2 linked regions of the Arabidopsis thaliana genome follow. The protein of the gene in region 1 interacts with the protein of each later gene in a biochemical or structural test. Each region holds a gene or a part of one and is shown on either strand. Other genes may lie near its edges.

Region 1 (15,027 bases):
TTGGTCTGATTGTATTACTAATCACTTGTCTTATACTACAAATCATGTCTTTAGAGACTATAGGGACGAATACTGTTCTGGTTCTTTTTAGTAGAATTTCTTGATCTTACTCTTCAGTCTTGTGCATTCAACAAAAAATTGAATTTGTCTCATTTTGTTTCCTATTGTATCTTATTGACTAATCGAATTTGGGGGTTTTGAATGTGTGTAGACAAGAAGATTGTTCCAAAATCAGCTAGTGACATCAAGTTGATAAATGCTGGTAAGATTTTGGAGAATGGTAAAACTGTTGCACAGTGTAAAGCTCCATTTGATGATCTCCCTAAATCCGTCATTACAATGCATGTTGTCGTGCAACTGTCTCCAACAAAAGCAAGACCAGGTCTTGTTCTTTCTTATCTCCGTAAATCTTGTTTGTGGAATGAATTCTTTAGCCTAATATCTTGTTTTTTCTTTCTCTTACAGAGAAAAAAATCGAAAAGGAAGAAGCCCCACAGAGAAGCTTTTGCTCATGTACCATAATGTGAGAACAACAACAAGTCCCAAGTCAAAAAATCTGAAAGAGTTAAGTTTTGATTCTCTGTGGTATTTGCTAAAAGACCATATAAACATAAACTACCGCTTCATATTCGACATTTTCTTCACAAGTTCAAAGAAACCTTCATCTATGGCGTTATAAAGCTAGTCTATTAGAGTTGTTTCTCTTGAGCTGTGATGGAAAAACTCTTGTTTGGAGCATCCTTTATAAAGATAAGAGTTTTGTTACCGCGAACTAATTCAAGTATCTCTGTAACATATCTTGTATGGTTTTGTCAATCTTTAGTACATTTTAGACCTGGTTTTTTTCTCTATCAGGATCCGCCCAAAACTGTATCCAAACATCTTTATCCAGTCCATTACCTACAGTGAAAACGAGTACTAAACGTTTGCAGTTTGGTTCTTGAGTGGCAAACACTTTGATATGTTACTATATGGTCCATACCTTTCTCATCATTTTCCACTTCCACAAAGCCAATGTTTTGGGGATGTAGGTAGATACAAACCTCCAAAAGAAACAGAGAGCATGAGATCTCAATAAATGTCCTTTCACCTAACTTATCACTGTCTCCCACTTAATTCTCTCATTTATAACCTTCACTTTCACTTAGTGTCTCTCCACTATCTTGTCTTGTTTCGCCTTTAATTCTATTCCTCTCCTCTGGCTCTCATTTATAATCTTCACTCCAAATGCACCTTTCTTTGTACTCCCATCACTTTCTCTTCGATATGGTATTTACTTTAATCCGATTCGAATATTGTAACTATGAAAAACAAAATGAATAGTAAAAATATCCGTTTCGTATCCAAGCCTATTTTTAAAAGACACGTTTGTATAACTCTCTCTATATATAGAAAGGAACCACGAAGCTCTTTCAAGAGAGTTCTATTCTTGTCTGAAAACTAGTTCCCTATATTTCTTCTTTCTTCACACACATATTCTCCAATTCTTACATAAATATCAAATAAACCAAACTTGAAACTTGTTGTGCTTAAGATGACGAAGAAATCACTGACAATGTTTCTTTTTATACTTCTGCAATTTCTGCTCGTAAACTCTCTATCTTCAAAGCATTCATCACCCAAACCAAAACCAGATGCAGAAATCACTATAATGGGTTTTGTTTACTGCGATGTTTGCTCCAAAAACAGTTTCTCTAAACACAGTTACTTCATGTCCGGTAGTAACTCAGAACAAAAAGATCTCTTTAATTAATTCCCTGCAAAAACTCTGTTTCTTAACGTTTCTTTACACAGGTGTGGAAGTGAGGATAGTCTGCCGATTCAAAGCAGCTTCGTCAACAACGACAGAGACTATAACATTCTCTGCAAACAGAACCACCAACGAGTTTGGACTGTACAAGGTAGCCATATCTTCTCTAGATTGTGCTGATGTGGACAGTCTCGCGAGTTCTTGTCAAGCGAGTTTGATTGGAAGAAAAAACTTCTCCGATTCTTCTTGCAACATTCCTGGTTATAGAACCACTACGGATCAGGTCTTGTTTAAGTCTCAACAGTCTAATTCCTGTGTTTATGGATTCAATGCTTTGAATTTCAGACCGTTCAAGAGGGATCTTGCCTTGTGTGGCAAGAAATAAGGTTTTTAGAACTACAAATTATCATTCACTATTATTGAAACTCTCTGTTTGCTTTCTACTCAAATATATATATATGTCTTTCGTCTTGTTCTCGACCATTGGCTTTGGTTAAAAACAAAATTTGAATTTTTATTTCGTATGCTGTAAACTATTAGTATGAAAAATAAGGAAAATGAATCACTTTTTATTTCACAACGTAATGAACAGAGGAAAATTTTGGCGAATGCTAGAAAACACACCAAAATTTTACGAACAAATTTACACAATTTCTCCTAAAACGTCCGGAAAAATTGCACGACTGTTACTAGTTTTAAAGCACGAGTTACCAGGTCACCTGTTTTCGTTAGACTGATAATTCATATTTCTACAGCAAATTTAGTATATCAATCTGTGTAAATATTTTATTGATTTATAATATATAAATAAAGTTGCATCTAGTTATGTCGTCATAAGTTTACGCATACGTATATTTGGAGAAAATGTCAAAAAAATCTTTAATTGTAAAAAATAGCATAAAAAGTTTTAACTTTATCTCGAGTAAAATAATGCGCTAATTTTCATTAACTTTTTATTTTAATCATATTTTTAATTGACTTCGCATTTTTAATCGCTCATTTTGTTGACTTTACCCAATATGTCACGTAGTTAAGTTGACTAACAAAACAAATTTTTAGAGTTAAATTTTCGTTGAGATGTTATGTTAAACTACACAAAAAAACATTGTTTAACTAACAAATAAAACTTAAAATGAAATTCAATCTTCTTACTACTTAGATAAACTCATGGATACGTCAATGGTGACATACAAAAAGTGTATATTAGAGAGTAACTCAATTATATTATAGTGATTTAGCCCTAAGTTTTTAATTCTAGAAAATTTAAAAATTTTAATGATTAAAACAACTATAAGTTTTTAATATATTGGATGTATATTATTACAAACAATAATATATAAGATAACTTGTACATGATTCACCAAAATAGTCTAGTTGAAACAACTATAATTTGAAGTTAAATAGGCTAAGTTGAAACAACTATAATTTTGAGATTCAACTATTCTTGGGTTACGGATTTTTACATTCTTATTAAAATATTGTGTTATTGGTTTGGGGGGTTTTAAATTTCCTCAAATGAATATCTTCTTATACGAAAAGATTAGTTTTCTTTGTAATTTTATTAAAATGATGATTATATTTAGATGTGGTCATGTGGATGAACCACCACCAGTGCACCAAAAACAGAAAACGACGCCTACCAACTTGATGGGCTTTTAATAGATATAGTTAGTTAGGCCCAGTTTAGTGTTAATACGATACCGTTTGACGTAGTTTAACGGCCACCGACACGAACGAATCCAAAACGGCACCGTGTCAATCGCATCCAAAGCTCTGATGTAAGAAACTCTACACTTGTTCGAGTTTCGGAGAAAAGAAACGATGAGGAAGAGATGAAACGCGGTGGAACAAGACGGAAGCGGTTGTTCGGGAAGACGATTCTCTTATCATCTGTGGTTTTCTTCATCGGTTTTGGTTTGTTGTTGCTCACGCTCCGTTCCGTAGATCCTAATTCGTCTTTCATCGACGACGACGATGACGAGTCCGAATCCGAGGAGGCTTCGAGATGGAGCAACTCTTCTTCGATTGGAGAGGCTATGGTCGATGGAGCTAAACTCTGCGCGACGGTAGAAGAAATGGGAAGCGAATTCGATGGTGGTTTCGTAGATCAAAGTCTCAGAGTTCGAGATGTTATCCATCGCCATTTTCAAATCAATGGTGAGATATTTTGTTTTTGAATCGACTCTTATATAAGCGGAGGTGTTTACGATGAATCAATGTCGATGTGGTTATTGTGGTTTATAGGAGCTTCAGCGATCCGTGAGCTGCCTCCGGAGCAATTTTGTAGACATGGTTATGTTCTAGGGAAAACAGCAGAAGCTGGATTTGGAAACGAAATGTATAAGATCTTAACATCAGCAGCATTGAGCATAATGTTAAACAGATCCTTGATCATTGGCCAGACCAGGCATATATTGGTTCTTTCTCAATCCTTTTTCTCTATATTAACTGAACTGTTACTATGCTTGTTGTAGTTTGTGTTATTTGTCTTGTTTATATTTCTTTCTTTCTCTGGGTATCCTCAGGGGGAAGTATCCTTTTGGTGATTACATTGCTTACTCAAATGCTACGTTTACAATGAGTGAAGTCAAGCATCTGTGGCGACAAAATGGCTGCGTGAAGAAATACAAAAGGCGGCTTGTTATGAGATTGGATGATTTCGAGAAACCGGCTAAGAGTAATGTTCTATGCAGTAATTGGAAGAAGTGGGAAGAAGCTATTATATGGTCAGTTGAAGAAAAGAAAGTACAGAAGATACAACTTTGAATTCATTTTGTGAAAGTTATAATCATTACTGAGTCGAGCATTTGGTTTTCAGGTTTCAAGGCACGACAGACGCTGTGGCAGCTCAGTTTTTCCTCAAGAATGTGCATCCTGAGATGAGAGCTGCTGCATTTGAGCTATTTGGAGAGCAAGGAAACTCGGCACCACGAGGTAATGTGTTTGGAGAGTTGATGATGAGTCTCATATCTCCCACAAAAGATGTTAAAGAAGCAGTGGACTGGGTTCTACACGAGACTGGGGATCCTGATATTTCAGTGCACATGCGAATGTTGATGAGCAAGTATGTTAAAACGTGCATCTAGGTTTGTTTTTTTAGTTGTTGAGCTTGTTGACTAAGTCTTCCTTTCATGTTTTTCTCCAGATCTGTTAGACCTATGCGTGCAGCGATAAACTGTCTAGGGAAAGCAATTAACAGACTTGGCATACCGAACCCGAGAGTGGTTATAGTGTCTGACACTCCATCTGTAGTGAAAATTATCAAAACAAATATCAGCACCATTGCAGAGGTATCAATGATCTATTAAACTTGCACTTTCTCTAATCTTCCCAATGATTTATTCAATTCCATTGGCGGACTAAGTAAGTTGCAATGGTTTTCAGGTTCTACATTTTGACTATAAGCTTTTCCGAGGTGATATCGCTCAACGTGGCCGCGGTTTACCAATGTTAGATTTCAGAATAAAGGATTGGGGTCCTGCACCGAGGTGGGTTGCATTTGTAGATTTCTTCCTCGCGTGCCGTGCTAAACATGCGGTGATCTCCGGTGCTAACAGGCGAGTTGGGACTACTTATGCTCAGTTGGTTGCTGCATTAGCCGCGGCAAACAGTCTCAGTTAAGATCGTTTTTTAGTTTCCTCAACACTTATTTTTCTTTCCTTCTGATCTGTCTCATTAACAGTACTCCTTGACTGGTTAATTCACAGAGGATGGTTCGAGCAACTCAAGCTTTGCGTTCCTGAGTAGTTTCCAGAGCAATTTGTTAGCAGATGGTCTGAAGAACCAGGTAGGTTGGGGACATGTCTGGAACCGATACGCTGGACCGTTAAGCTGTCCAAAACAGCCAAACCAATGCGCCTTCACGCCGCTTGCACCTCCTGGTTGGTGGGACGGTATATGGCAATCGCCCATCCCACGGGACACTCGTAGGCTTGCAGCTTTCGGCATTGAGCTTTCCGGGTTTGGTACGGTTAACGAAGACCGGTTCCACGCCTATTGTAGCGCCAAGAAAGAGTACGTAAGCACTGTAACAATCATATAATGACTTCTTGAAAAAGATTCTGGACTCTTGGTTATAAATGGACTCACTGGTTTTATTCTTCAAATCTACTTCCCCTTCTTTAATTGAACCGGCCATATCAAACTTTTTGTTCTAAATAACCGGACCCAAACCGAATTAAGCAAACCGAACGCCCAGGCCTACGAGTAACTAGCTGGCCTCTTGGTTCAATATATGGTTTTACTACTCCCTTCTTAAATTGAACCGGCTTTCTTACCAGGTCTAAATAACTAAACCCAAACCGAACTAACTAATTAAACCGAAGTCAAATATATCCAGCTATAAGTAAGAGAAGACTTCTGGTGTTTATTAGAAACAAAGTAAGATTAAGAGAGGAATAAAGCTGGTGTCAGACATTAAAGATGGAACATCATCTCGTGGAATCAAACTTTTCCTAATACAAAAATTGATTCTCGGTTAGTGAAACTTCAATTTACTACCACTTGCAGATTGTTAATTTCATTATTATTATTCTCGTCGTTAGAAATTTGCTACTAACATTGCAAGTAGGTTCAGGTATAGGTGAGAGCTAGTTTAAGATGGACAAAACTAATTATGTAAGTAGTTCTTGTAAAATATGCATTTTAAAGGTAACAATTGCTATTTTGGTGTAAACTTTTGTAATGACTAAAAATAAATAATTGTGATGGAAATAAAATCTGATTACAAAAAGATTTGAGAACGTCATGATTCATTCATAATCATGTACTGTCTACCATACTTTTTATTCTACGTACTACCATACAATCTCCAAATTTTAAGAGTGGTATGGCTCCATGACTCACATCACATGATTTACATTACATATTGTACTAATGTCAGAACCTTAACCGATCGTAAAAACCGATCAACAACGTTAACCATCATTATTGACCGTTATCTGTCGTCATAAAATCTCGGCCAAGGCTTCTTTAAAGTCTTGGCTAAATCAAAAACAACTTTTGAATTTGAACCTCATAGTGGAGCTAGAGAAGAACACAACCAAGAATCAAATGTGTATACGTTCGTATAATTAATACTTGTTAATACTGTTTCCCTCTCCTCTTTCTTTAGTTTTGTTAATTACTAGACTTTTATGCACAAAATGATAAGAATGGAGTCATAAAATCCATAGAAACCATAAAAAAAAAGTTCCGATAATTATCATTATCGTATATTGAATAATGTGAAATAGAAGTTGAATGTGTTTCCAAATTTGGTTCGGAACTGTCTTATGTCTCAGACAGAGAATCTTTGATAAAATCTTTTAACTTACATTGCATGGATATATTGGCCTAAATTTTACCATTATCAGCGTTCCTTTTAATTTTGAGGTTAAACATAGGGAAAAGCATCTTGCCGTTTTCATCGTCTGTTAAAAATTATTGAGTTTTAGACTGGGAATCTTTAATACTTGTAGCTCACGTTACATGAATTTGTTTATCAAAATTTTGTTATTCTCTGCGGTTTTTGCAATACACTTAAAAATTATTTTGCACCAAAACCAACCAACAAAAAAAATTCTTCAATGAATTTCAAAAACGTTGATAATTTTTTTGTCGTTACGTCTATAGTTTTGGGCCTTTTTTGAATGCATAACAAACATAGTTATCATCTAATATATCACTATTAGAATTTAGAAATACTTAACGTGAGGATTATTTTCTAATTTTTGTCTTAAAAATTAGTTTAAATTCAGAATCCAACATTTATCACAATTATAAATTCCAGGGATATAAAGGAGAAACTTACTATAAAACAATTAACATTGTAGATTATTACCCTCAATGGCATAATAAAACAATAAATGATTTTATCTCATAGAAGCAATTGGTGAGTAACGTACCATATATATTGCACCCCCATGCTCTCTTTTGTTGATTACGTGTCTTTCCTTCCTATCAAAACCCCTTCAACCAAATCTTATCTAAATCCCCCAAAATTTTACGAAAACTCTCGATTTTAATCTAAATCTCCTTCCTTATCACCTCACAAATTTCTCGTGTTTTTTTGTAATCAATTTTTGATGGAAAATTATTCCCAAAACTCGAATCTCTGTTGATCGTGTGTTTCTTGGGGTTCGTCTGATTCCTTCAAAGTTTTCATCTTTTTGATAACAAAACCGTTAGTTCTTTGTCCTCGTGTGTGATCATCTCTTGAGCCCTATTGATAAACCATATAGAGAGTGTATGTGTGTGTATATCTTTGTTTATTGAGTGACACCAACAACAAAAAGATTATTTTCCTTGAGATTGATTAAAAGAAAACATGGTTAGTTGCTTGTGTTTTCGTCCCAGTCGGAAAACGAAGCTCAAAGACAAATCTCATAAGAGATCCATACGTAACCAGACATCCTCCTCTTCTGGTTCCTCTCACTTCCCTTTGATCTTTTTATTATTATTTATAGATTAATCTTGAGATTAGTCATCTTTAATACCAGTCATTAGTAGTAAATCATGATAAAATCTCCCTTTTCTTTTAAATAGCTTATTTATTAATGATACATATAGTATTTGTCTTGTGATTAGTTTATACGGATCGTACAAATCCCGGCTTAGGGTTTGTGTTTTATAGTTCAAAGATTTGTGTATTTGGCTGATAAATGTCTTTTTAATCTACTTGTGATCCAATAACATATGTGATATAGTCTCTCATTGTGTTGTTTTGTTCCTCTGTAGCCCAACCAGCTGGAACAGCAAAAGAAGTAGATTCGTCAAGTTCACAAACCGTAGTGCAAGATTCTTCTAGATACAGATGTCAGATTTTCTCATACAGAGAACTCGCCATCGCGACTAACAGCTTCAGGAATGAATCTTTGATCGGAAGAGGTGGATTTGGAACTGTGTATAAAGGAAGGCTAAGCACTGGACAGGTAATCTATTATTAACATTTGGACTAATCAAATCAATAATCTTGTCGTTGTGAAATCTCTAACTGTTTGTCATTGTGCTTTGTTGTTGGTCTTAATTCAAGAACATAGCTGTTAAAATGCTTGATCAGTCTGGTATTCAAGGAGACAAAGAGTTTCTTGTGGAAGTCCTAATGCTCTCGCTCTTGCACCACCGAAACCTAGTGCATTTGTTCGGTTATTGTGCTGAAGGCGATCAAAGACTCGTTGTCTATGAATACATGCCTCTTGGATCTGTAGAAGATCATCTCTACGGTAAAAAAAAAACTACACTCAAACCAAGAAATTTTCAAGAACGAGATTCATTAAAGTTTTTTAAATTCTTGTGTTGTTTTGTCAGATCTTAGCGAGGGTCAAGAGGCTTTAGATTGGAAGACAAGGATGAAGATAGCTCTAGGAGCGGCTAAAGGGTTAGCGTTTCTTCACAACGAAGCACAACCTCCTGTGATATACAGAGATTTGAAAACTTCAAACATATTGTTGGATCATGACTATAAACCTAAGCTCTCAGATTTTGGACTTGCAAAGTTTGGTCCAAGTGATGATATGTCTCATGTCTCTACTAGAGTTATGGGAACTCATGGGTATTGTGCACCAGAGTACGCGAACACCGGGAAGTTGACGCTGAAATCTGATATTTATAGCTTTGGAGTTGTGCTGCTGGAGCTTATCAGTGGACGCAAAGCTCTTATGCCCTCATCCGAATGCGTTGGTAATCAAAGTCGCTATCTTGTGCATTGGGTAATCCTCTCAACCTTATTTTGCTTAAGGATGGATTAGTTTTTTCCTTATGACCATTTATAGGCTTTGCTTCTTTTAGACTATATAACCAGATTATATCTATCTAAATTCCAATTTTGCTTAAGAGAAAAATTGTTTTGATGGTGACCTTTTGGTCGATTTTGCATAATTATACCGTTTACGATTTAGGGTTTAGGGTTTAGATTAATCAATTAACCATTAAACCATATGCTATCAATTTTGATTTTTCGTAAAAATGGTAGTGGTTTTACTATTGACCTTTAACCATATATAGGTTTTGATTTTGGTTATGCTGATGAAAAAGAGTTTCGTGTTATGGCCCTTAATGATGTGTGGATACGTATTAGACTAATGAATGTTCCGATTTTGATGACGACATGTTCATGTGTTTCTTTTTTTTTTTCTTAACAGGCACGACCGTTGTTCTTGAATGGCAGAATAAGGCAGATTGTAGATCCAAGGTTAGCAAGAAAAGGCGGTTTTTCGAATATACTTCTTTATAGAGGTATTGAAGTGGCCTTTCTGTGCCTAGCAGAAGAAGCAAACGCTAGACCATCGATCAGCCAAGTCGTGGAGTGTCTTAAGTATATCATTGATCACACAATTAGGAAGGAAAGGAGAACTAGGCGTAGACTACTAGGAGGAAATAAGGATGGGGCGGGGACATCGAGGTCACCGGATGAGACAATGATGAGGATGTTAGAAGAAGAAGAAGAATACGTAACTAGTGAAGAAGCTATTGAGAGAAGGAGGGTAATCGTGGATGATGCTCGTACTTGGGCCGGTATGAATAGGAGAGGGGCTACGCCACCAACTCCGACTCCATGAAAGTGAAGTAAATTTTTATTAACTTGTTTTTCAAGTTATATTTGGTTAAGTTTGTTTGGTGAGACTATTGTTAGAAACCAAATTTTGTTAAAACATTTAAACATGGCAATTTAGTTAATACTAGATTTATGTTTGTTTTTATATATGTACTAACATCAAATTGATTTCTTACAAATTTCATCTGCTTCAATAACTTCGGTTTATTTAATTCGATTAAGATTTTGTTTCATAACAAAAAAATTAATATTTTGGACGTAAACTTTTTCATTTCATTTTTTTTAATATTTAATTTTATTATATTGAATCAAAAATTACATGGTTATCAATAAACATACACATACAACCAATATTTAGGTAAAACAAAATAATCGAAAAAGTAAAATCGCACGTTGCTTCTTTCGATAGGTAGGACTTATATGCTACCAGAGAAATAATTCTGTTACTTTTTTTATTCGTTTTCATCTTTGATCTTCTTTTTTTTACTATCGCCTTTTTGATGAAACTACAATAAGTTCTTCAAAAATTATTAGTTGCGATCCATCTGTTACATCGCAAATCATACAAATTTTTTTTAGTTGTAGAAAACATGATTGTTTATATAGCGACTTGTTTTCCATATAGATATTCCTTCTTCACAGCCTCCAACACCGGTATCATGACTCCCCAACATCCATATAACGCTGCCACTGGATTCATATGGATCATATTCATATAACGCTTAACATTCTGCAAACTTGAAACTTTAGTCAGATAGCATTATAACATATCTACCATCCTTATTGGAACCAGAAGCGTTCTACAACCACTTTGTGATTTTTACATCGGAATTGTTGTACACGTAAACTTTTTTGTGTTATGAAAAATGTATTTAAAAGTTGAATGAACATATTTATATAGTTAGGCCCACTTGTGTGAATTCAGATTTTCAAGGCTCAAAAGAATATTTTTGTTTTAGAGAAGGTTGAGTCCATCATCATAACCCATATGTTGCCTGTCATCATATTTTTCTTTCGACCTTTTTCTCCTCGAGATTTCAAAAGATAATCACTATTAAGAAACAAAATTTTTGACCGCGGTTACTAAGTGACAAACCAATGAAATAAAGACACGTCAGCTTCTGTCAAAATAAGAAAGATAAACTAAAAAAACGACGGTCACACACAGTTTCTTTCTTTTTGGTTATATTAAAATGTTTTTGTTTGAGAAGACAAAAAAAAAAAAAGTGGGGGAAGAGAACCCACCATTGAAATTGGGGGAAGAAGAGAAGAGAGGCTAACACACAAAAAAAAAAAAACCCTTCTTTTTCGCTGGCTTACTCGTGCCCTTGTCGGCTTACTTCGCCGGAAATCTGAATTATCCTTTTGCCGGAGACTACTTACCCTTCTCTTTCTTCATCTTCGAAACGGGTTTTTAAAGCTCAGCTCTTGGTGACGCCGTCGTGAGAGAGAGAGAGATTGAAGTAGAAGAAGAAGAAATTGAGGTTGAGAGATGTATGTAGTGCCTCCGCCTCAGCGATCTGATTCTGGATCCAATGGTGATTTAAGGGTTTACCAAACTTGGAAAGGCAGCAATGTGAGTTTTTTTTTTCTCTTTTTTGTTCTTCTTTGAGCTATAGATGCTTCATTACTCTTCCTTCCCATTTTTTTAGTTTTTGCTAAGTCTATTAAATGGGACTTTAGATTAGCTGCTATGTTTTCAATTTCAACCTAGTTCAAAATTGGAACTTTATTAAGTCTTTAGGAGAATCTAGCTATTGCGTTTTTGTGAATCCTAGGTTTTGGTGTCGTTTTCATAGGTTGCTTTTGTGGTGAATACCCTTTGGATCGTTTTAAGCTGGACAAGGCATTTTAACTTTATCTAAATATAGCTCAATGATAGATTGAGTTACTTTGGACAGAAAGGTTTTGTAATTTGAGATTACACATATATATATAGTAGATACTTGTGTATAAGGAGGTTTTCAATAACCTTCTCTCTGTGTTGCCTTAAGACATCAGCTAGAGAATCTGAATACTTCTTCAATGATTACTTACTCTGAGTACTGATTAAGACATGTGTTGTGTGATGTACTGAATTCATCGCTGGTGTATTGTTTTCCTGGATGATTCTTGTTTTTGGGGAATACTTTGTTCTCGAAAGTTTCTCTACCGGGCTGTTTATTTTCGCGTTTTATTTTGCAGATATTCTTTCTTCAGGGAAGGTTTGTATTTGGGCCAGATGTTAGATCACTGGCGCTGACCATTTGTCTCATTGCTGTCCCTGTTACAATTTTCTGCATCTTTGTCGCAAGGAAGCTAATTGATGACTTCTCCGATAGCTGGGGAGTCTCAATAGTAGCTGTCGCCGTCGTGTTCACCATTTATGTATGTATAGTTTTTTCTCGCATTGCATAGCAGATGGTCTCTATAATATTCTGTAGCTGATGCTTTTATTTTGTATTCCCTTATGATTCCGTTTCTTTCTTCAGGATTTAATTCTTCTGCTGCTTACATCCGGAAGAGATCCAGGTATTATCCCAAGAAATGCTCATCCTCCAGAGCCTGAAACCCTTGATGGAAACATGGATGCAGGGGCTGGCCAGACTCCGCAGCTGCGATTGCCTCGCATTAAGGAAGTACAGCTTAATGGAATCACATTTAAGGTCAAGTACTGTGACACTTGCATGCTCTATAGGCCGCCTCGCTGCTCGCATTGCTCAATTTGCAACAACTGCGTAGAAAGGTTTGACCATCACTGCCCTTGGGTCGGCCAATGTATTGGGATGGTAAGTCAAAATCCAACTGATCCCGTCTTTAAGCTATCCACATAAACCATAGTTTCCTAAATATCATCTCATATTCTGATGGTTGTTGCAGAGGAACTACCGATTCTTCTTCATGTTCGTCTTCTCCACGACCCTTCTATGTATATATGTGTTTGCCTTCTGCTGGGTCTATATAAGAAAGATTATGGAATCAGAGCACACAACCACTTGGAAGGCAATGCTTAAAACTCCTGCCTCCATTGTTCTAATAATATACACATTCATATCAATGTGGTTTGTTGGTGGCTTAACAGTTTTCCATTTATATCTCATCAGCACGAACCAGGTATGTTGCGACCATCCAATCCCCACCCTCTCTTAAGGAATCACGGTATCTCTGTAACCATTGATTTATCTTTGTTCTTGCAGACTACATACGAGAATTTCCGATACAGATATGATCGGCGAAGCAACCCACATAACAAGGGAGTGGTTAATAACTTCAAAGAAACATTTTTTTCCACAATCCCTCCTTCAAAGAACGACTTTAGAGCTATGGTCCAGCGTGAACCTCCATTACCTCCTAGATCTGTAGCAGGTGGTTTTATGAGTCCAAACATGGGTAAAGCCAATGATGAGATTGAAATGGGAAGGAAGGCTGTTTGGGCAGACATGGGTCCAGCAATGTCAGATCATGGTGACGGTAAACATGGTAACAATGAGCGGTTACATGTTAAGGACGGTGAGTTAGGCGAGCTATCTCCAGACATTAGGGCAACAGTTGATGAACAGAGTGATAGGCCAAGTATGCACCCGAGACGCTCAAGCTGGGGAAGGAAAAGCGGAAGCTGGGACATGTCACCAGAAGTTATGGCCTTAGCAGCCAGAGTAGGAGAACAAAACCAGAACGGCGGAGGTAGCAGCAGCGGAAGCGGTTTAGTGACGGAGAACCGGCCTACATAATTGATTACATGGTTTAGCACCGAAGGAAGAAAGAACATAGCCGAAGTTCGGTATGGTGAATACAGGTTTAGAGAAAATCTGAGGGGAGTTTCTTTTTCTTTTCTTTTTCAAATGTGTATTTTTTTTCTGGGATTATTCAGCTTATAATCAGTCTTGTGGTTTGTGGTTTATGGAGGGAAAGCAGAACTTGCTAATGTTCTTAATGTGGAAAGTGTTTGTGTTGGGCTTTGTTGTGGTAAAGCAAAGGTTGAATTGGTGTGTTGTTTGTATGAGTGAGCTTTCTTCTGGATTTGTTTTCTTCTTCTTTTCTTTTAGTTGTGTTAATACATTTAACCAGAGATTTCTGTTTTTTTTAAGGTAGAGGAGAAAAAAGTTGATATATAAACAAAAAAGTTTCTGTGTTATTTTATCAAGAAGCTGAAACAGAATTATCAAGACATGTGGACCAAAAGACAGAACATTTATATAGTTGTTCATTGAAGCATGGCTCTGCACTTAATGCAGAAGAGCCCTAATGTTTAATTTATTTTGCCTCTAAATTAATTTAAATTTGTTTTTGTTTGATAGGACAAGGTTACAGAAGATGAGTGTGTTAAGGTCTCTGCTGAGTCAAAGATATAGTCAAGAAAAATGTCCAAATCAATAATTAAAGCCTTGAATTATAGAGTTTAAGTTAAATTTTCTGAAAATCTAAGCTTGTCACACAAACATCAGATCATAAAGACAGGATCTTAAAGAGAGTCGATAAGATTTTCATCAGTGTTATATATAAAACTAATATATTTATATAACATGGACCATAGTTCAATTGAAATGTCACTATTATCATTTAGTAGCCTCTGCTCCTCTTTATTAGGAACCTTACTTGTGATAGAACCACCATGTGAGAGAGCTCTAAACCCTCTGAAACTATTCTTTTCATCTTTATCTTTCTGTCTTCTAAATTCACTTTCAACATCAGAGAGCCCTAAGCTTTTTTTTTTACTCATTACACCAAAAACCTTCAACGGCAATTTAACCAAGTGAGTTTCTTG
Region 2 (18,174 bases), on another chromosome or scaffold:
AAGAACATTGTAGTATACTTTATACATTTTTATTTGTTTTCTGTTCGTTTAAAATGTAACTATGTCTCTTTGTGTCAGAATTTGAACCGATAAAAGATTGCAAGGTGATGAAAATTAGAAATGATGAAAAGAAAAGATTAGTGAAATGGTATATTAACTTGTATAGGTGCAAAACCACTTATGGTAATAACAAACTTTTTTCTGTATGAGAGGAGGTTTTAATCAAATCTCAATAACAACCCTCGTAAAACAGTCACTAACTGATTTATTCGTTTAGAATTGCTGCAAAAATAAAACCTTCTTCAATTTGTCTTTAAAATGCATCAAGCCATGTCTTCTTTTGAGCTCGCCAAAACCGATTAAGCAACCACACAGAATCTGCTGCCACGGCGTTCCCATCTTGGTTCCGATTCCAGCTGAAGTAAGCATGAGTTCTGTTTTTAATCTCTAGCAACCCGTGCCCAAAGCTAGCTTCTCGAAACGCGGAGTATTTTGGTTGTGGCTGCATCATGCTACAGATATAGCAAAAGCCAGTCACATACATATTCAAAGAAAGTGAAGAGTATTATCAATAACAGAGTTAGTTACAGAGTCGGTTACAAGTTAGTCACTCTATTATTGATTGCAGAATATGGTAAAACTTACTCGGTAAGCAAGCCTTCCGAGTTTCCGCCATCCCCGATTGTGATGTATATAGGAGCTGACTCATCCGATATTGGCTCACACAATCCATTGACAATGTTGTAAGCAATATTAGAAACACGTTCCTGCGTCAATATTTTAGGATCAATTGGGGGACAAGGAAGGTTTAGATAAATATCAATATTATTCGGGACAAGTAAATTGAATATACCGATCTCTCATAGGCATGAACATGACCTGCAAACACAACATCAACCTTGTATTTGACAAACCATTGTTCGTACATGACTCTCAATGTTTCACCTTCCATGTAATGATGCACATAGCTACTGTAAAACGGGCTATGCACTAAGACTATAAGCCATGGCGTCTCTGTTCGATTCACTCCTTGTAACTCCTTTTCCAGCCATTTGTATTGAGGTGTGTATATCCCTAATCATAATATGCAAAACTAATCAACAAGCTACTAAATAGTTATTGTTTCTTCAAAATTAATTCCTTACCATAAGATGAGTAACATGACATAACAATAATATAAGCTGACGCCCTTTTGATGGAATACCACAATGGAGAGATACTTCCTGATGCCTTATGTGGCGTATGATACCGATTCATAAAAGGCTTGAATGGTTCTATTTCACCCTACAAAACAGACTCTTCATGTTAAGTTTAAGTAATTACCCTAGAAGTGATAAAAGAAAGGAAGAAATTTAAATATTACAATGTCAGGAACGAAGTCGATTTCGTGGTTGCCAGCAGTCCATATCCAAGGTTGATAAGCAACACTTCGCTCAACGAACCTTCCCCAAGTATCCCATCTATTGTTGTCGTGGTTAGGGTAGCGATCCGCGTAAGACAAGTCTCCTACAAACAGAACCGCTTGTCCTTTTCCCGGATTCATCTCATAATGGCTTAACGTACTATTTGAGTCATAAGTTTGTCCTAGATCCCCTGGAACGTAACAAAAAGTCACACATAGGAAAGTTGTTTGAGGTTTTATTCAAATGTGTAAGGTTTGATATGAAACTTAAAGACAACATTTAACATACCAATTAATCCAAATGTGTAAGGTACGTCAGGGCCTGATTTAGGCGGGATAAAGAACCAGAACCGTCTGGACCACTTGCCACTCCCAATTTCGTAGTAGTATTTCGTATCAAACTGTACACGACCATATATAACAAGTAAAAGTAAAAGAACACTTCTAAATTAAGGATATTCGACTAAAACACAAAACCAAAACCCAACTATCAATACTGACAATAAGGATAAAATTAACCAAAAATCCAAAGAAAAAAACGGCTTTAAAGTGATAAGACTTACTTCCAAATCATCGATGAGGCAATGGTGAATATAACCAGACGTGTAATTAAAGAACCGGTAAGTATTAACTGTTGCTTCTGCTTGTTTCCTCGATTTCTCATTCTCACACCAATATTGAACAGTCTTAGAACCGGGCTTAACCGGAGTCACCCAAGAAATGATCACTCCATTACCTTCATGGTTCCCTTGCGTTACATGAACCTGTTGAGGTGAATTAGGACCAGGAGGAACTTCAAAAACATCGCTGTCTAGTGGCATGTCATCTGGTAAATCACTTCCTCTGACATATTCACTTGTGAACCCTCCATAGCAAAACTCAACAAGAACACTTAGCAAGAAGATTATCAAAGAAACTCGTTTGATTTTGAGGTCAGATCTTGAACTCATCTTCAAGATTAGTTTCTCTGAATCCGAGACGAAGAACGTGCTTTATATTTTCTTTTTGGGAAATTAAATGAGATAGCTAGCTTGTCTGGCCAGACACAATCATATGATTTTTTTTTTTTTTTCCAAGAAAGGATCGCAAGTGGATATTCCAAATTTTTATTTTATTTTTAATCAACCTTTGAAAATGAAGGCTTCTAAGACCATCTCTATCTAAAAACAAGAAAAGTTTCTAAAAAAAATATATATTAATATTTTAACTAAAACAAATATATTAATTATTATTTAATAATTGAACTAATAGTATGATGACATTTGTCCAAATTGGATGAGAATAGTTTCTCAAAGTTTCTCGGAAGAGAAACTCAACTCTCCTTCTCTCCTATTTTTTCTCCTTCCTCTCATATTTTTTTTTTGTTGGGTATCTCATTGAGATACTTCCAATGAAAATGCTCTAACTATCTTTTTTTTTTTTTTAATATCGATTAAAAAGTGTTGTAGGAAACAATTGATAGTGTTGCTTTCATTTTTTTCTTACAGATTTTAAAACAAGATTTTGAATGTAAAATAAGCTTTTTTTAAAAATATATTTTCATTACCTTTTTGTTTAGGAAGGGTTATTGGTTTATAGATTTATAATGAATTGAAAATCCGAACAAAAATCATTTGTAATTTAATTATTGATTTTAAAATTTTAATTAATATCATGTGTTATTGATTCAATGATTTATAAATACTAGTTAAAATCCTTTGTTATTCGTTTAGTCATTTGTTTTTGGATTTGAGAATCCAAATTATGTTTTAAATAAAATTAAATGGATTTGAAAGAGAAAATAGAAGGATTCAAATCCATGGATAAACACATATTATTTTAAAATTCATATATTTTAATTTTATAATTAATAAAGATTTTCAAATTCTATATAAATTTATAAATCAATAGCACTCCTTTAAGCTCGATATCATTGCTTCCAGTCTCTAGTTAGGCTATTATAAAATTTAACATAATTCGGTTAGATATTTAACATAATTCGGTTAGATATAATCCGGTTATAAACCCTTTTTTTCTTTTACATATTTTATAAACTTTCCCAAATATATGTAAGGTATATCAATAATATATAATTTCAATGATGTTTATATTTAGTATATTTAAATTTTCGTTAACGTTTTCAATTGTACTCTTACACAATTTTTGGTGTTGTTTTTGAACTAAATAATCATTTTAGACACGTATAAGTATTTTTATAGGCATTATGTGTTCCAAATATACTATATCATCGTTTTTAACATCATAATCTAGAGTTATTCATACTTTTTTTAATCTTTGAACTATATATTATTTTTGATATGGATAGTCATAATATCCATTTTTAAAGGTTAAGATTACTAATCTTTTTTTTTCTTTGGAACACCGGTTAAGATAACTAATCATTCTCTCGATTTGAAAGATATTTTTTTCACAGGTGAATACATTTAAACTTTTAACATATATCAAAACAAAACAAATTTTGTAGTGCCGAATTCATTTTGCTATCATCTCTTCATACATATTTTTTGTCCAAAACAAAATTACAAGATGATAAAAATTTAAAACATTACTATTACGTGATTTTAGATTGTCTTTTTTTTTTTTTTTTTTGGACAAAAGATTTTAGATTGTCTAAAGTCATATATTTCTAATAAAAATTTTGAAATATTTTATATAACAAGTTTTTAATATTTTATAAATCTAAGGAAATGTATCTAAAAACACTTGAAATATCTTAACTATCTACATCTATGCGATTGGAAGCAGTAGAGATAGTAAATTTCGCTTGAAAGATCTAATAGGCTAATACTACTTTTCTAATTTTATTTGTTTCGCACGAGAGTCTCTCTGCATTTCCGAGTTTTGCTGAAATCAAAATCAAAATCAAAATCACGACAAGAAGAACACAAAAGTGCTCAATCGTCTCCTCACGATATATATCTGCTGAATCGGAAAACTCAAAGGTTTCACCGGAGAAGAAAATGGGGAAGAACGAGAAAACATCTCTAGGTCGAGCCTTAGTGAAGCACCATAACCATATGATCCAGGAAACCAAGGAAAAAGGCAAATCCTACAAAGATCAACACAAGAAGGTTCTAGAATCCGTGACCGAAGTCAGCGACATCGATGCCATCATCGAACAAGCCGAAGAAGCTGAACGTCTTTTCGCGATTCATCACGATTCCGCAACTCCTGTTCCTATCAATATGTGAGCTTCTCGATTCAATCATTCTTGTGAAATTGGAGATTTGCTTGTATTGAATCATTTTTTGGTTTGTGATTATGTTATGTAAATAGGGATACAGGTTCGAGTTCGAGTGGCATAACAGCTAAAGAATGGAAAGAGCAAAGGATGAGAGAAGAGGCTTTACATGCTAGTAGTCTTCAAGTTCCTCGTAGACCTCATTGGACACCTAAAATGAATGTGGAGAAACTTGATGCTAATGAAAAACAAGCTTTTCTCACTTGGCGACGGAAACTTGCGAGGTTTGTTTCTGTTTTACTTCGTTCTTCTTTGTATTGTTGACAATAAACTAGAAGGATTGTTGCTGTTAGTAGCATGGAGGATTGATTACTCATTTGCAAGTGTTCCTAGTGTTGACAATGAACTACAAAGTCCGATTGTTTTCTCAATGATCTAGTACTATGCTTTTCTATGGTTACATATTATAAGCTACGTACTGTTGTTTTCATTGGTTTACTCTCAATATTTGTTTGTTATTACAATATAATTGGTTTTGAGGTTACAAGTTGTTGCATTTATCTCAAAGGAGTACTTGATAAAGCTAAATTACTTTGGAAATGCAGATGTAAGTTCGTTATAGAATAAGGTACCAAAACAGTTGAATGCGTTTTGGTTTGACTACTTTTGTTAGTAAAAATGTATCCATTTTCACATTTTGAAGCAGATTTTAGCTTACTCAGGATACTATGTATGGCTTGATTTCGTTATGTACAATTTTCGTTGGGACTTATTGCTATATACTTATGCATGCCTACTTGTTCTGCTGTATTCATTCAGCCTCGAGGAAAATGAAAAGCTTGTGTTGACACCATTCGAGAAGAACCTTGATATCTGGAGACAACTTTGGCGAGTGCTTGAACGTAGTGATTTGGTATGTCTGTTTTCCAGGATTTCTTTTTTCGTCTCTTAGAGCTCATTTTGCATGGTTTAGTTAATTGCAAAATATCATTGGCTATTTTTTTCTCTTTCAGATTGTTATGGTTGTTGATGCTAGAGATCCTCTGTTTTACCGCTGCCCTGATCTTGAGGTAACTCTATCTCTGCCAACTTGCTGATATCTCTTAATTGAACCTTCCTGATCCATATCAAACATTAACGTGGAGATTTGTTCTGAAACAGGCATATGCACAAGAAATTGATGAGCATAAAAAAACAATGCTTCTGGTCAACAAGGCAGATCTGTTACCTTCTTATGTCAGGTAAACATGTTGCCTTGCTTCTTTTCCTCCAACCTGTTTGTTTTATTGCTAACCAGTTCGGTTCTATGTAATGTAAATTCAGGGAGAAATGGGCGGAATACTTCTCCCGCAACAATATTCTGTTTGTCTTCTGGTCAGCCAAAGCTGCTACGGCTACCCTAGAAGGTAAACCCCTGAAAGAACAGTGGAGAGCACCTGATACCACACAGAAGACAGATAACCCAGCTGTGAAAGTATATGGAAGGGACGACCTTTTGGATCGATTAAAACTTGAGGCTCTAGAGATAGTAAAAATGAGGAAATCTAGAGGAGTTTCCGCAACTTCTACTGAATCACACTGCGAACAAGTTGTGGTTGGCTTTGTTGGGTACCCGAATGTGGGGAAGAGTTCGACAATCAACGCATTGGTAGGTCAGAAGCGAACTGGTGTCACATCTACCCCCGGGAAAACAAAGCATTTCCAGACATTGATAATCTCTGAGGATCTAATGCTCTGCGATTGCCCTGGTTTAGTCTTCCCTTCATTCTCAAGCTCAAGATATGAAATGGTTGCTTCTGGAGTTCTTCCAATAGACCGGATGACCGAGCACCTTGAAGCTATTAAGGTTGTGGCTGAACTTGTTCCTCGACATGCCATTGAGGATGTGTACAACATCTCTCTACCTAAACCCAAATCCTATGAACCTCAGTCCCGCCCACCTCTTGCCTCAGAGCTTCTAAGAACTTACTGCCTCTCTCGTGGTTATGTTGCCTCTAGTGGACTACCTGATGAGACTAGAGCAGCTAGGCAGATTCTGAAAGATTACATTGAAGGTAAGCTTCCACATTTTGCAATGCCTCCAGAGATAACCCGAGATGATGAAAACGAGACAGCGGATGACACTTTGGGAGCCGAAACAAGAGAAGGTTCACAGACTGAGAAGAAAGGTGAAGAAGCTCCTAGTCTTGGTCTTGATCAAGTTCTAGATGATCTTAGCTCGTTTGATCTTGCAAATGGACTTGTGTCTTCCAAAACGAAACAGCACAAGAAGTCACATAGGAAACAATGATTCGGTCTTGATGGAACGCCAATTCTGAGAGTTTTCCTGAAACCGATCAACAAATGCTCGAATATATGATACAGTTGTGGATTTTTCTTATTGTAGAAATCGTGATAACATTCTAACAGCTGTTGTTTAGATATTATGTTTGAGCAAATACTAGTGATATCGATAAAGTTTCAACTTGATGCTAGTCAATATATTGATGAAGAGTCCTTCGAAGCAGGTTTGGTAGTTGTAATATATTGCCATTGAGATATTATAGATCACTCACTCATTGTGGGTTTGTTTGTTTTCTATTTGTGGGTTTGTTTGTTTTTAAATATGTGTAAAATCTTGGCCTGTTACATTGGCTTTATACCATAAATAACAAAAAAAAAAAAAAAAAAGATCACTCATTCATATGCAAAGCAACTCAAACTACAATTTTCATTTCCCAGACTTTTATTGTATTTTTTCAATTTAGGAATCAGACTTTTGTTTTAGACAAAAAAAAAAAAGAATAAACATTTTGTAACCTTTATATTCTCCAGCATCACTCTTGTACTAAATCAATGCACATGCAAGGTTTTCTCACCATTGTTGATATTTTCATTTTTTGCTCTATTTCATAGCTTTGGACTTTGGACAAATTCAATAGATTCCTCAAGCTTTGTCACTTCATCTAAAGTATGTCATCGCCGTCTTTTAATGAGCAAACAAACATATCAGTAAAGAAGTCAACAATTTATTTGCAATTGGCTCAAATTTGAGTAGCTCAACTCTTCTAACTCAGAATTTTCCTAGGTTCTTCATTGTTTTAAAAAAATTTGGCAAAGGGAAACTTTACTGATTAAGCTCTTTTTGTAGTTAATTACAAACCCTCTGAAATTTAAATTCATATATAAAAAAGTGTAACATCCAGATTGTACGCAATGATGAATGAGTTTCATTATTTCCATTATATTAGTCATTTTTCTTCATAGATTATTTCTAAAGCTTCCAAAACTGAAATTGGCGGTTTGTACGAAGTTAATCTGAATTGACTAATGTCGTTTCTGTTGTAGATGACATTCAATGCATTAGAAATCCTCATTTCATTACGATTTTTCTTCACCATTCATTGTATATTTATTCATGAGCAATATTGTTTATTCCACTTTTATGTATTGTAACATGGATATTATTAGCAATATTTTGATGATGGAGTTTCATGTGTTATATTCATCAATGAACTTAAAATTGACTGAATTCTTACTTTCTAGTAAATGTAGTTACTGCCATTTAAGAACCGAGGACATGTGACCGAACTTTTCTTCTCTACGTGGTTTTATCTAGTCTCAACTCTCAATTTGGATGATCAAAACCAATGTAAAAGTCTTATAGCACTTATTGGTGACCTTAAATTCGTAGGTACATTACTAGATTCTGTACTGTAAGATACATTTCTATATGTTACTGCCTAATAAATTAAAACATTTATAAAAATACGATACAAACATTTGAAAGGGTACGATGTCAAAAAAAAAAAAAAAAATTTTGAAAGGGTACAAACTCTGAGAAAGTGTGTCAAATACAAATAGTTTTCTAAAAAGCGTATCAATTATCATAGTATAAATCACCCTTTATAAATCACCCTAAATTTTCCTAGAAAACACTACAATTTGCAACATATGTCTCTCACAAATCCACCATTAGGTATATAAAATAATCAACACAATATTTTAAGCTAACTACACATTACCAAATCAGTTCAGTTTCATGCGTATTGTTTGCATTACATAAATGATGAAACAATTTCTTAGTACAAGACTATATATAGCTTCAATTTCGTTACTCAAATCGAAATAGATAATTGTTTTATTTCCTCAAATAATTTCTGTTGTTTTTATAGTAATTAAGTAAATGATAAAAATGATTTAATAAATGTAATTATCTTAGCTTAAAGAGAGAGAGATAAATAAACAAAGGGCAAGTTTTTTGATTGTTTGGTGTTGAGTGTCTCTCTGTCCTTATTCCTCAACAAAAAAAAAAAAACTGGGAAGAAGAAAGAACAAACTCATTTTCAAATTCTCCGAATCTCTCTACTCCAATTAACTTTTTTCCGGGAAGATCTCACCGGAGAAAAGCTAGCTAGGGTTTCTCCACCGTGAAGATTCTAGAAGCGAGAATTTGGAATTTGCTAATTAAGAAGATGTGTTACGATCTTTCTTAATTAAAAAAGCATTGAAATTGACGAATTTAGGGTTGTGAAAAATATGGATTTGGATTCTTCAATGGTACCAGAGAATGATCAAGATCCTATTGCTACGTCTGAGAATCAATCTCCTATGGAGGAGAAAGAAGAAGCGTCTGAGCAACAAACCGGATCCGAATCCGAATCGGCGTCTTTGACTCCTTCTCTTCCTCCTCCTTCGCAGCAACAACAACAACAGCAGCAACAGCCGCAGGTAACGGCGGTGGTTGGTCCGAGATGTGCGCCAACGTATTCGGTTGTGAATGCTATAATCGAGAAGAAAGAAGATGGTCCTGGTCCTAGATGTGGACATACGCTGACGGCGGTTCCTGCTGTTGGTGAAGAAGGGACGTCTTCTTATATTGGCCCGAGACTGATCTTGTTTGGTGGTGCTACTGCTCTTGAGGGTAATTCTGGAGGAACGGGAACACCTACTTCAGCTGGAAGTGCTGGCATTCGTATGTTTTTCGATTTCTCGTTGCTTTAGTTTCGTATAAAGCTATAAGCTTTAGTTTCTGAAATCATTCCTTGATGTTAGAGTATGATTTTGCATCAGTTTTAGACTTGCCCTGATGTGATAAGAGTAATGTTTCCTATGCAGGGTTAGCTGGTGCAACCGCTGATGTTCATTGTTATGATGTTCTTTCTAATAAGTGGTCGAGGTGAGTAGAAGATATGAATTGTGCTGTTTAAGGTAGGAGATCTAGTGATTTGTTGTTAAGTGTGAAGTTGAATTAATATGATGAAATGATGGTATAGGCTTACACCTTATGGAGAACCACCTAGTCCAAGAGCTGCTCATGTTGCTACTGCTGTTGGGACCATGGTAGTAATTCAGGTAGGGGAGAAATTGTTTTGTATTTTCTTGTTATGGATTATAGTTTAGCAATTCAAGGTTATCATTTAGGGTTGTAAATGAACCTGCTACTGATTTGTTTCTGTGGTGCAGGGGGGAATAGGTCCTGCTGGTTTATCAGCTGAGGATCTTCACGTTCTTGATCTCACACAGCAACGGCCACGATGGCACAGGTTTGAATATTAATCTGCTCTTTGTCGCTAGCTCGGTCCTGAAGTTCATATGCTAGCTTGTCGCTTGATTTGGATTATCCTCTTTATCTAGGGTTGTTGTTCAGGGTCCTGGACCAGGACCACGTTATGGACATGTCATGGCACTGGTAGGACAGAGGTATCTCATGGCAATTGGTGGAAATGATGGTAAGCAGTTTCACTCGCCACCTCATTAAATATGTATTTATATTCTCCTTAAATAGCTTCTTTTTTCTCAATATCCTTATATTACCAGGGAAACGTCCATTAGCTGATGTATGGGCTTTGGACACTGCTGCCAAACCTTATGAATGGCGTAAGCTGGAACCGGAAGGGGAAGGTCCACCACCATGCATGTAATTTGTGATTCCTTCGCTTCATTTCTTGTATGTGATTCTGTGGCTTTCAGTTAAGTGATTTGGATCTCTTGGGTTTGTATATTATAACTAGGTATGCAACTGCAAGTGCGCGATCTGATGGCCTTCTTCTTCTCTGTGGTGGAAGAGATGCGAATAGTGTGGTAAGCCAAAGAGTTTTTACTGCCATGTTATGACGTGGAGGAAATCCAAATGCTGTATTACTCTTTGTTACCATTAAATTAACACTGCACTGAACAAACTTGTTTCATGAAGAGAGGGGAATAGCTTTTCTTTGCAAATTACTTCAAATACGAGTTCAAATAGGAAAATATCTATCATGTTCTTAAAGTGACAATTAGAGTTTAAGAGCTTCTTTATCTGTCTTGATATTTAATGTTCGATTGCCATGGTTAATATGTCTTTGTGTACCTCTGCGTGATAGCCCCTAGCAAGTGCATATGGACTTGCCAAGCACAGAGATGGACGTTGGGAATGGGCCATAGCCCCAGGTGTCTCCCCTTCTGCCAGATACCAGCATGCTGCAGTATGAGATTCTTCTTCTTTTTTTACTTCTTTTAGCTAGTTCCATCAGAAAAACCAACATTTGGTGGATTATTTTAGGTCTTTGTAAATGCAAGACTCCATGTCTCTGGTGGGGCACTTGGTGGTGGACGCATGGTAGAAGACTCGTCCAGTGTTGCAGGTTAGCGAAAGGCGAGAAACAATCTCATGTTTGTGTTGTTAATGAGATAATACTTACGTTTTTTGCTTATACATACAATCTCTAAAATGATGGATATGTTACTTTTTTTTGGTACAACTTTTGGCTGTCTTAATTGATTAATTGTTAGTGAGGCATATTATTTCTTTCTAAAAGCATAGTTATATTCATCCTTTAAGCTGCATCATTCTTCTCAATGGACTGTAGAAGCCAAAATTTATTTGCAATTTATATAAAACTATCAAACAGGGATATTAAAAAAAAGTTCACTCATCCATAACTCATGAGGAAGCTACAAAATTATTTTCGTAATAACTAGTACATGCATTCATGTAAGCTTCTCTGACTGGTTCATTATTTTCTCTTTGTTCAGTGTTGGATACTGCAGCAGGTGTTTGGTGTGATACAAAATCGGTTGTTACTAGTCCTAGAACTGGTAGGTATAGTGCTGACGCAGCTGGTGGTGATGCTTCTGTTGAGCTGACTAGGCGATGCAGGCATGCTGCTGCTGCAGTGGGTGATTTGATATTCATCTATGGTGGGTTGCGTGGAGGTAAGGAAAAAAGCTTGATAGCTGTTATAGGCAATTTACCATTACACGTTTGTCCATGAAATGAACCAGGCATATAGTACTGAGAATCCAGTGATCTACTAATTTGGCATATTATTTATTGAGTTGTTAGTGTATGATAGTGTAGGATTTGTTTTTTAAGTAGGTAGTTTGATCTTTTGTTAAAGTCTGGGACTTAATATTATCAGTATTAGTTAGTAAAACCATTATAGAGATCATTCTTCACCAAATATATGTGCCGTAGCTTCTTTTCTCTTCCCTTTGCAGACCGTGCATTTTCTTAAAAATTGTAGCTGCTAAACTTAATTATATTCTCTTGATCCTATAGGAGTTTTACTTGATGACCTATTGGTTGCTGAAGATCTTGCTGCAGCGGAAACAACATCTGCTGCCTCTCATGCTGCTGCTGCAGCAGCAGCAACAAACACGCCACCTGGCCGTTCACCTGGAAGATATGGATTTTCTGATGAAAGGACAGGGGAGCTACCAGAATCAGCTCCTGACGCTGTGGTGCTGGGAAGCCCTGTTGCACCCCCTGTAAATGGTGATATGTATACTGATATTAGCACTGAAAATGCAATGGTTCCAGGAATTCGGTTAGTGTCTTAATATGTGGGGTGTCGTATTGTTAGCACACCTATGCATTTAGTTGTAAAATATTTATCAAACAACATTGTAGGAGAACAAGCAAGGGTGTGGAGTATCTTGTTGAAGCATCTGCTGCGGAAGCCGAGGCTATCAGTGCAACATTAGCTGCTGCGAAGGCACGACAGGTCAATGGGGAAGTTGAACTTCCAGATAGGGATCGTGGTGCTGAGGCTACGCCCAGTGGAAAACCTTCATTATCATTGATTAAGCCTGATTCTGCAGTACCAAATAGTGTTATTCCTGCAGGGGTTCGACTTCATCATAGAGCTGTGAGTCAATCTAACTCTATCAAGAAAAATCTGTCATTTACCGTAATTCCAGCTCATTTACCAGTGGTTTACATCTCTAATTTCTGATTTTTGTTTTGCATTTATTTTTGGAACTTTGTAAGGTGGTGGTTGCTGCAGAAACAGGTGGAGCCTTAGGTGGAATGGTTAGACAGTTATCCATTGATCAATTTGAAAATGAGGGACGCCGTGTTAGTTATGGGACACCCGAAAGTGCAACAGCAGCTAGGAAATTATTAGATCGTCAGATGTCAATCAATAGTGTTCCGAAAAAGGTAAATTGTTAATCAGTTAAGTGTTGCAAGAAATTGTTATTGTGTGCTCGAACTATTGTAGAGAATTTGTCTGCTGTGGCACTGGTCATTTGGTTTGTCTGATAAAGATAGGAAGTGTACTTAGATACTGTGGAGGTGTATTACCCCTTGGTTTAATAGTTTTGGAAACTTATTTTTAAACAGACATGTAATCCGACTAGATCATTTGTATTGTTCAATGGTATGAGGTTCCGAGTTGACTATTAATACCTTCTAATGATTCACAACTCAATTTTATTAGGTTGTAGCTCATCTTTTGAAGCCTCGGGGGTGGAAGCCTCCAGTTCGTCGCCAGTTTTTCTTGGATTGCAATGAAATAGCTGATCTTTGCGACAGTGCAGAACGTATCTTCTCAAGCGAACCTACTGTGTTACAGCTTAAAGCTCCTATTAAGATATTTGGTGATTTGCATGGCCAGTTTGGGGATCTCATGCGCCTTTTTGATGAATATGGTTCACCATCAACAGCTGGAGACATATCGTAAGTGTGCAGCTAAATCTCTTGCGCCATGCTATGTGTTGGTCTGACATTACTGACTGTATTAATTGTTCTCAGATACATCGATTACCTCTTCTTAGGAGACTATGTTGATCGGGGTCAACACAGCCTAGAGACAATTACACTTCTGCTTGCTTTAAAGGTAGTTTAAAGAGAACTATATTAATGCTCTCTTTTCAGGTATTATTAACGCTTAATAAGAAATGCTATAACGCTCTATAATTGACACTGCAGGTTGAATACCAACATAACGTACACCTGATTCGTGGAAATCATGAAGCTGCCGACATTAATGCACTTTTTGGTTTCCGGATAGAGTGTATTGAGCGAATGGTAGTGTCTCATCTCTGTGAATCTCTTGCTCCACTTTTAGGGTCTCATGTCATGGCTACTTTGCAGGGTGAACGTGATGGGATCTGGGTGTGGCATCGAATAAACCGTTTATTCAATTGGCTACCTCTGGCTGCACTGATTGAGAAGAAAATCATCTGTATGCATGGGGGAATTGGTCGGTCGATAAATCATGTGGAGCAGATAGAAAATATCCAACGTCCAATTACGATGGAAGCAGGCTCAATTGTACTTATGGATTTATTATGGTAAGTTCATGTCTAATGCTGTATCATTCTATGTTGTTTCCGTGATCCTTGTCTCACTAGTATGTCATCTTGTAATCTGTTAGGTCGGATCCAACTGAAAATGACAGTGTCGAAGGTTTAAGGCCCAATGCTAGAGGCCCTGGGTTGGTTACTTTTGGGGTGAGTGGTCTTTTTCTTCTATTTCGTACACTTTGCATTGATTACTGCTCTCTTTCCCTTCCCCTCCTCACCTCATACTCCATTACATCAGCTTGAGTGATCTTTTCTTTCCGCTCATTTTGAGCTTCCTAAGTGTGAAGAGTACTGATTTTGCTAGTCCCTTACCCTTGACATATTCATGGGCTGTTGTTAGACAATTATATTGAGTAATATAATTCTACTTCGCTTCCATAAGTAGTTCTGCCTGTTCTATTACTTACCAAGAATTTGACAACTGCAGCCTGACCGTGTCATGGAGTTTTGCAACAACAATGATCTGCAATTGATTGTACGTGCGCATGAATGCGTGATGGACGGATTTGAGCGTTTTGCCCAAGGTCATTTGATAACGCTCTTTTCGGCAACAAATTATTGTGGTATGTTTATGGAACCGAGAACTCACTCCTAAGCTGGTAATAAGACCTGATCTGATAGTTTCTGACAAAAAATGATCTATATTTATTCCTTCTCAGGTACCGCAAACAATGCCGGGGCTATCTTGGTGTTGGGGAGAGATCTTGTGGTGGTTCCTAAGCTTATCCATCCATTGCCTCCAGCGATAACCTCACCTGAAACTTCACCAGAAAGACATATAGAGGATACATGGATGCAGGTTTTTATCTCAAACAGATACTAATGCCTTCCTTTTTCCACCTGGAAAATGGCGTAACTAAGCATTGATATTTTGCAGGAGTTAAACGTAAATAGACCACCAACACCAACAAGAGGACGCCCACAAAATCCAAATGACCGCGGCTCTCTTGCTTGGATATAAACCCTACAGAAAGAGTGACGAGTGCGAGATAACATACCTCTCCCGAGTCCTGACAGCCGCCTCTAGGTGATCCTCATGTTGTGTACAGAACCAACCAAACCATTCAATTATCGATTGCTATTTACCAACGAGATGGATCAATGAGGGTTTTGAGTTATCGAAGAATTTCACAGGTTAAGTTCATTCAAGTCAGATGATGAAAGGGTAAAGAATTTGTAGTAGTAGTGAGGAGGAAGAGTATTTGTTTTGTAAAAGGGGTTTTCTCATTTTTATTCATATATTTGATTTTCTTCACTTTGCTTTTTTTCTTAGTATTGATTATATATGTGGTATTGGACTTTTGGTGAGGGACACAAACAGGAGAGTGAGTAGGAGGAGGATTTTAGAGGTTGTTTTAGTTTTGGGGTATTTATGTATCATAGAGAGGTGTGTTTGGTCGTTTGTATAATGTCTTCATTCATATTTTTCAGTATGTAATTTGTAGCAACGGTTTGTGTGTTTAATGATACAGAAAATATTCTCTCCCATTTTTTCTATCATATTCTTATTTTACCATCATTTTTAAAACATTTCTGTATTTTGTTAGTTTGTAAAATAAAAAATAAAAAATTGGATATGGAAGACAAACAAAAAATCAACTCAAATAAATAAATCCATAACTTCTTGGTAGCCAATTAACTTGTGGTTAGGTCACTAAGATGATCATGTAAAACAACAAAATAATAATTATAGCTAATATATATTCATTGTTTTGTGGAACAAATTTTAGAAAAAAGACAGAAGAGGTGGGAGATTAAGTTAGGGTTTTTGGGGACATACACACACACACACACACATACACGTTCATAAAGTCACAACTATTAGCTAATATGGATCTCACGGTTGATCTGATCTTCATTTACACTCATACGTAACAATACTAACTAAAACCTGACTATCGAAAACCATATATATTTCTTTAGCTTAGTATTGTTATCTACATTTTTATCATAACCTTTACTTAATCATCTCCTCTCTATCAATCTACACACATCAACCCATACGAAACCATCCAAGGGCCAAAACTATACACAGAATATACGTAAGCAACAAGCAGAAAATATATCATCCCCACTAATTATTTCTAATCCATGATTTGATAAGTTGAAGATGAATATATGGCCGAGTTCTCAGTTCCATGACTTGTTGACTCAAAATGAATGTTATTAAAGGTTTGGTCACAAGAATGAGGCAGGCCGAGGGAAAGGGAGACGCTGTTTCCATCCATTGTGTGATAGTTTTCGAACCCTCCGTTGAAATTGATGAAGTTCGCTTGATTCATGTGTTGCTTCGTGAACCTCATGACTACGCTGCAACTTGAGGATGAATTTTGCCTAGGGGTTTCAGTTTCAGTGAATCCTTGACGAAAGGCGGGTAGGATCGTGTTCGAAGATTCATTTGAAGTTGTATTATTGTACGGTTGCTTTGAAGATGAACCTTTGGTACTATACCGGTCACTTCCTTTTCTGCTTTCTTCAATATCCATTTCTTCCGAATAAAGTTCCTCCACCAGTGGCTTCCACATTCGAACTCGAGCATTAATGAACCAATTTGACACCTACATCCATTTTACACAAGATACTATTAACAATACTTATTTTGATTATATATAATCATGGGTGCTAAAAGAAAGTATTCCATAATATATATAATTACTAATTTAACCAAAATAAATTTGATTTACTTTACAAAGGATCACATATATGATATTTCTCGTATGCTATCATCGCTATTTTCATTAAAATAATTATAATAAAATAAATATACATCATCTATCTAAATAAATTTACCAAAATATATTTGGTTTACCTGCTTTTCTTAGAATTCTTGGGTACGTTTTTGTTTTCAGACTCGAAAAGAAAAAAAAATAGAAATAAAGAGATATCTTTCTAAAAATATTTTTTTGATCGGAATAAAATTTGTTTGAATCTATATATATATTCGGTTTTACCTGTAGATTATTTATTCTTGATAGTCGGTGTTAGATGATGTCATGAAATTGTATATGTACTATGTATGAGACATCTAACATTAAGAAACTTAAGTATGTCCAACTTCTGATAATCGAAATCAATTACCTGACTCTTAGTAAGGCCAGTCTGTTTGGCAAGCATTACCTTATCCAAATCCCTCGGATATCTATACAAACCAAAACAAGACACAACTAAATCATTAGCATGCATGTCTATACAAAACTAAGTAATGATCCTAGCTTCCATATCCTTAGTTAGTTCCCTTTGCTTCAAGGTCCCATCATTCTGATATATCGACAATAATCGTAACAAGAATTAAAGATAGAAGAAAACGTTACTTACGGATGAAGAAAATGCTCAAAGAGCCAAGAGCGTAGAACGGAAACAGCTTTTTCGGGCAAACCTCTCTGCGGTCTCCAAGCATTTGAATGGTGATGTGCCATCTTTCCCAACTTCTTAAGCTGCTCGTCAAATTCCTTTTGTCCCAAGAGCTTGTTTATTTGCTTGATTTGCAAACTTATCATGTCTTTTACAGCACGAAACTGCTTTGATATTGTTTGTAACGCCATATGTGTGTATGAGTTTGCTGAGCCTAAACCCGCAGCTTGCTCAAACGATGAGATTATAGTCTGCATTTGGTCATGGTATTGCTTGTATCTCTGTTCCACCTGTGTATAATTTACCAAATTCATTTCCCAAATCAATTTACCAATCTTTGAAACCTTTATAAAGTATCAAATACTTAACATGCAATAACCAAATATATGGACTGAACTTGAGTCCCGATCTCAAAGTAACAGAAAGTTTATTGCCATTATATATATCACCATGGTTGGTTTGTATATACAAAGATCTTATTATTATTATTTGTGTATCACATATTATATAGGTAGGTATAAATAAGTTACCATTTCACCCATGGAGATGAGTTTTGCTTTCTTCATTTGCAAAGCAGCTACGCCAGGCTTATAGCCACCATTGATGTCCTCAACTCCATAAATCGTGGACTCTTTACTCACCGGTCGCTCTTGTTTTGCGCCGTGGCTACCGTTTCCAACATTGACAA

Evidence for each region.
Region 2: of the proteins of CDG1 (region 1) and BSL3, one has a biochemical effect on the other in vitro, tested with the Arabidopsis thaliana proteins (one study listed by BioGRID).

Annotation. Positions count from the first base shown.
Region 1 is NC_003074.8:9,931,967-9,946,993, reverse strand, and holds CDG1 (Protein kinase superfamily protein), read left to right. Parts: upstream 1-7,688; 5' UTR 7,689-8,057; coding exon 8,058-8,154; intron 8,155-8,467; coding exon 8,468-8,661; intron 8,662-8,762; coding exon 8,763-8,952; intron 8,953-9,037; coding exon 9,038-9,438; intron 9,439-9,870; coding exon 9,871-10,287; 3' UTR 10,288-10,412; downstream 10,413-15,027. Other genes in the region: MUB4 (membrane-anchored ubiquitin-fold protein 4 precursor), read left to right, coding at 212-382, 466-527; AT3G26960 (Pollen Ole e 1 allergen and extensin family protein), read left to right, coding at 1,535-1,718, 1,795-2,135; AT3G26950 (uncharacterized protein), read left to right, coding at 3,583-3,907, 3,995-4,157, 4,276-4,476, 4,569-4,814, 4,896-5,040, 5,135-5,366, 5,458-5,792; AT3G26935 (DHHC-type zinc finger family protein), read left to right, coding at 11,776-11,859, 12,468-12,650, 12,755-13,051, 13,143-13,376, 13,460-13,993. UniProt on the Arabidopsis thaliana protein: Serine/threonine-protein kinase involved in the positive regulation of brassinosteroid (BR) signaling and plant growth. Mediates BR signal transduction from BRI1 receptor kinase to BSU1 phosphatase.
Region 2 is NC_003071.7:11,621,087-11,639,260, forward strand, and holds BSL3 (BRI1 suppressor 1 (BSU1)-like 3), read left to right. Parts: upstream 1-8,832; 5' UTR 8,833-9,101; coding exon 9,102-9,537; intron 9,538-9,680; coding exon 9,681-9,741; intron 9,742-9,838; coding exon 9,839-9,917; intron 9,918-10,028; coding exon 10,029-10,108; intron 10,109-10,199; coding exon 10,200-10,294; intron 10,295-10,382; coding exon 10,383-10,482; intron 10,483-10,576; coding exon 10,577-10,646; intron 10,647-10,927; coding exon 10,928-11,029; intron 11,030-11,106; coding exon 11,107-11,188; intron 11,189-11,579; coding exon 11,580-11,759; intron 11,760-12,105; coding exon 12,106-12,373; intron 12,374-12,456; coding exon 12,457-12,694; intron 12,695-12,816; coding exon 12,817-12,987; intron 12,988-13,267; coding exon 13,268-13,506; intron 13,507-13,581; coding exon 13,582-13,666; intron 13,667-13,758; coding exon 13,759-13,857; intron 13,858-13,923; coding exon 13,924-14,123; intron 14,124-14,206; coding exon 14,207-14,282; intron 14,283-14,562; coding exon 14,563-14,698; intron 14,699-14,794; and 5 more. Other genes in the region: PAP12 (purple acid phosphatase 12), read right to left, coding at 314-512, 646-767, 854-1,074, 1,146-1,284, 1,364-1,593, 1,692-1,803, 1,966-2,352; AT2G27200 (P-loop containing nucleoside triphosphate hydrolases superfamily protein), read left to right, coding at 4,363-4,589, 4,679-4,867, 5,403-5,496, 5,597-5,653, 5,745-5,824, 5,907-6,873; BLH5 (BEL1-like homeodomain 5), read right to left, coding at 16,220-16,693, 17,214-17,274, 17,451-17,830, 18,017-18,174. UniProt on the Arabidopsis thaliana protein: Phosphatase involved in elongation process, probably by acting as a regulator of brassinolide signaling.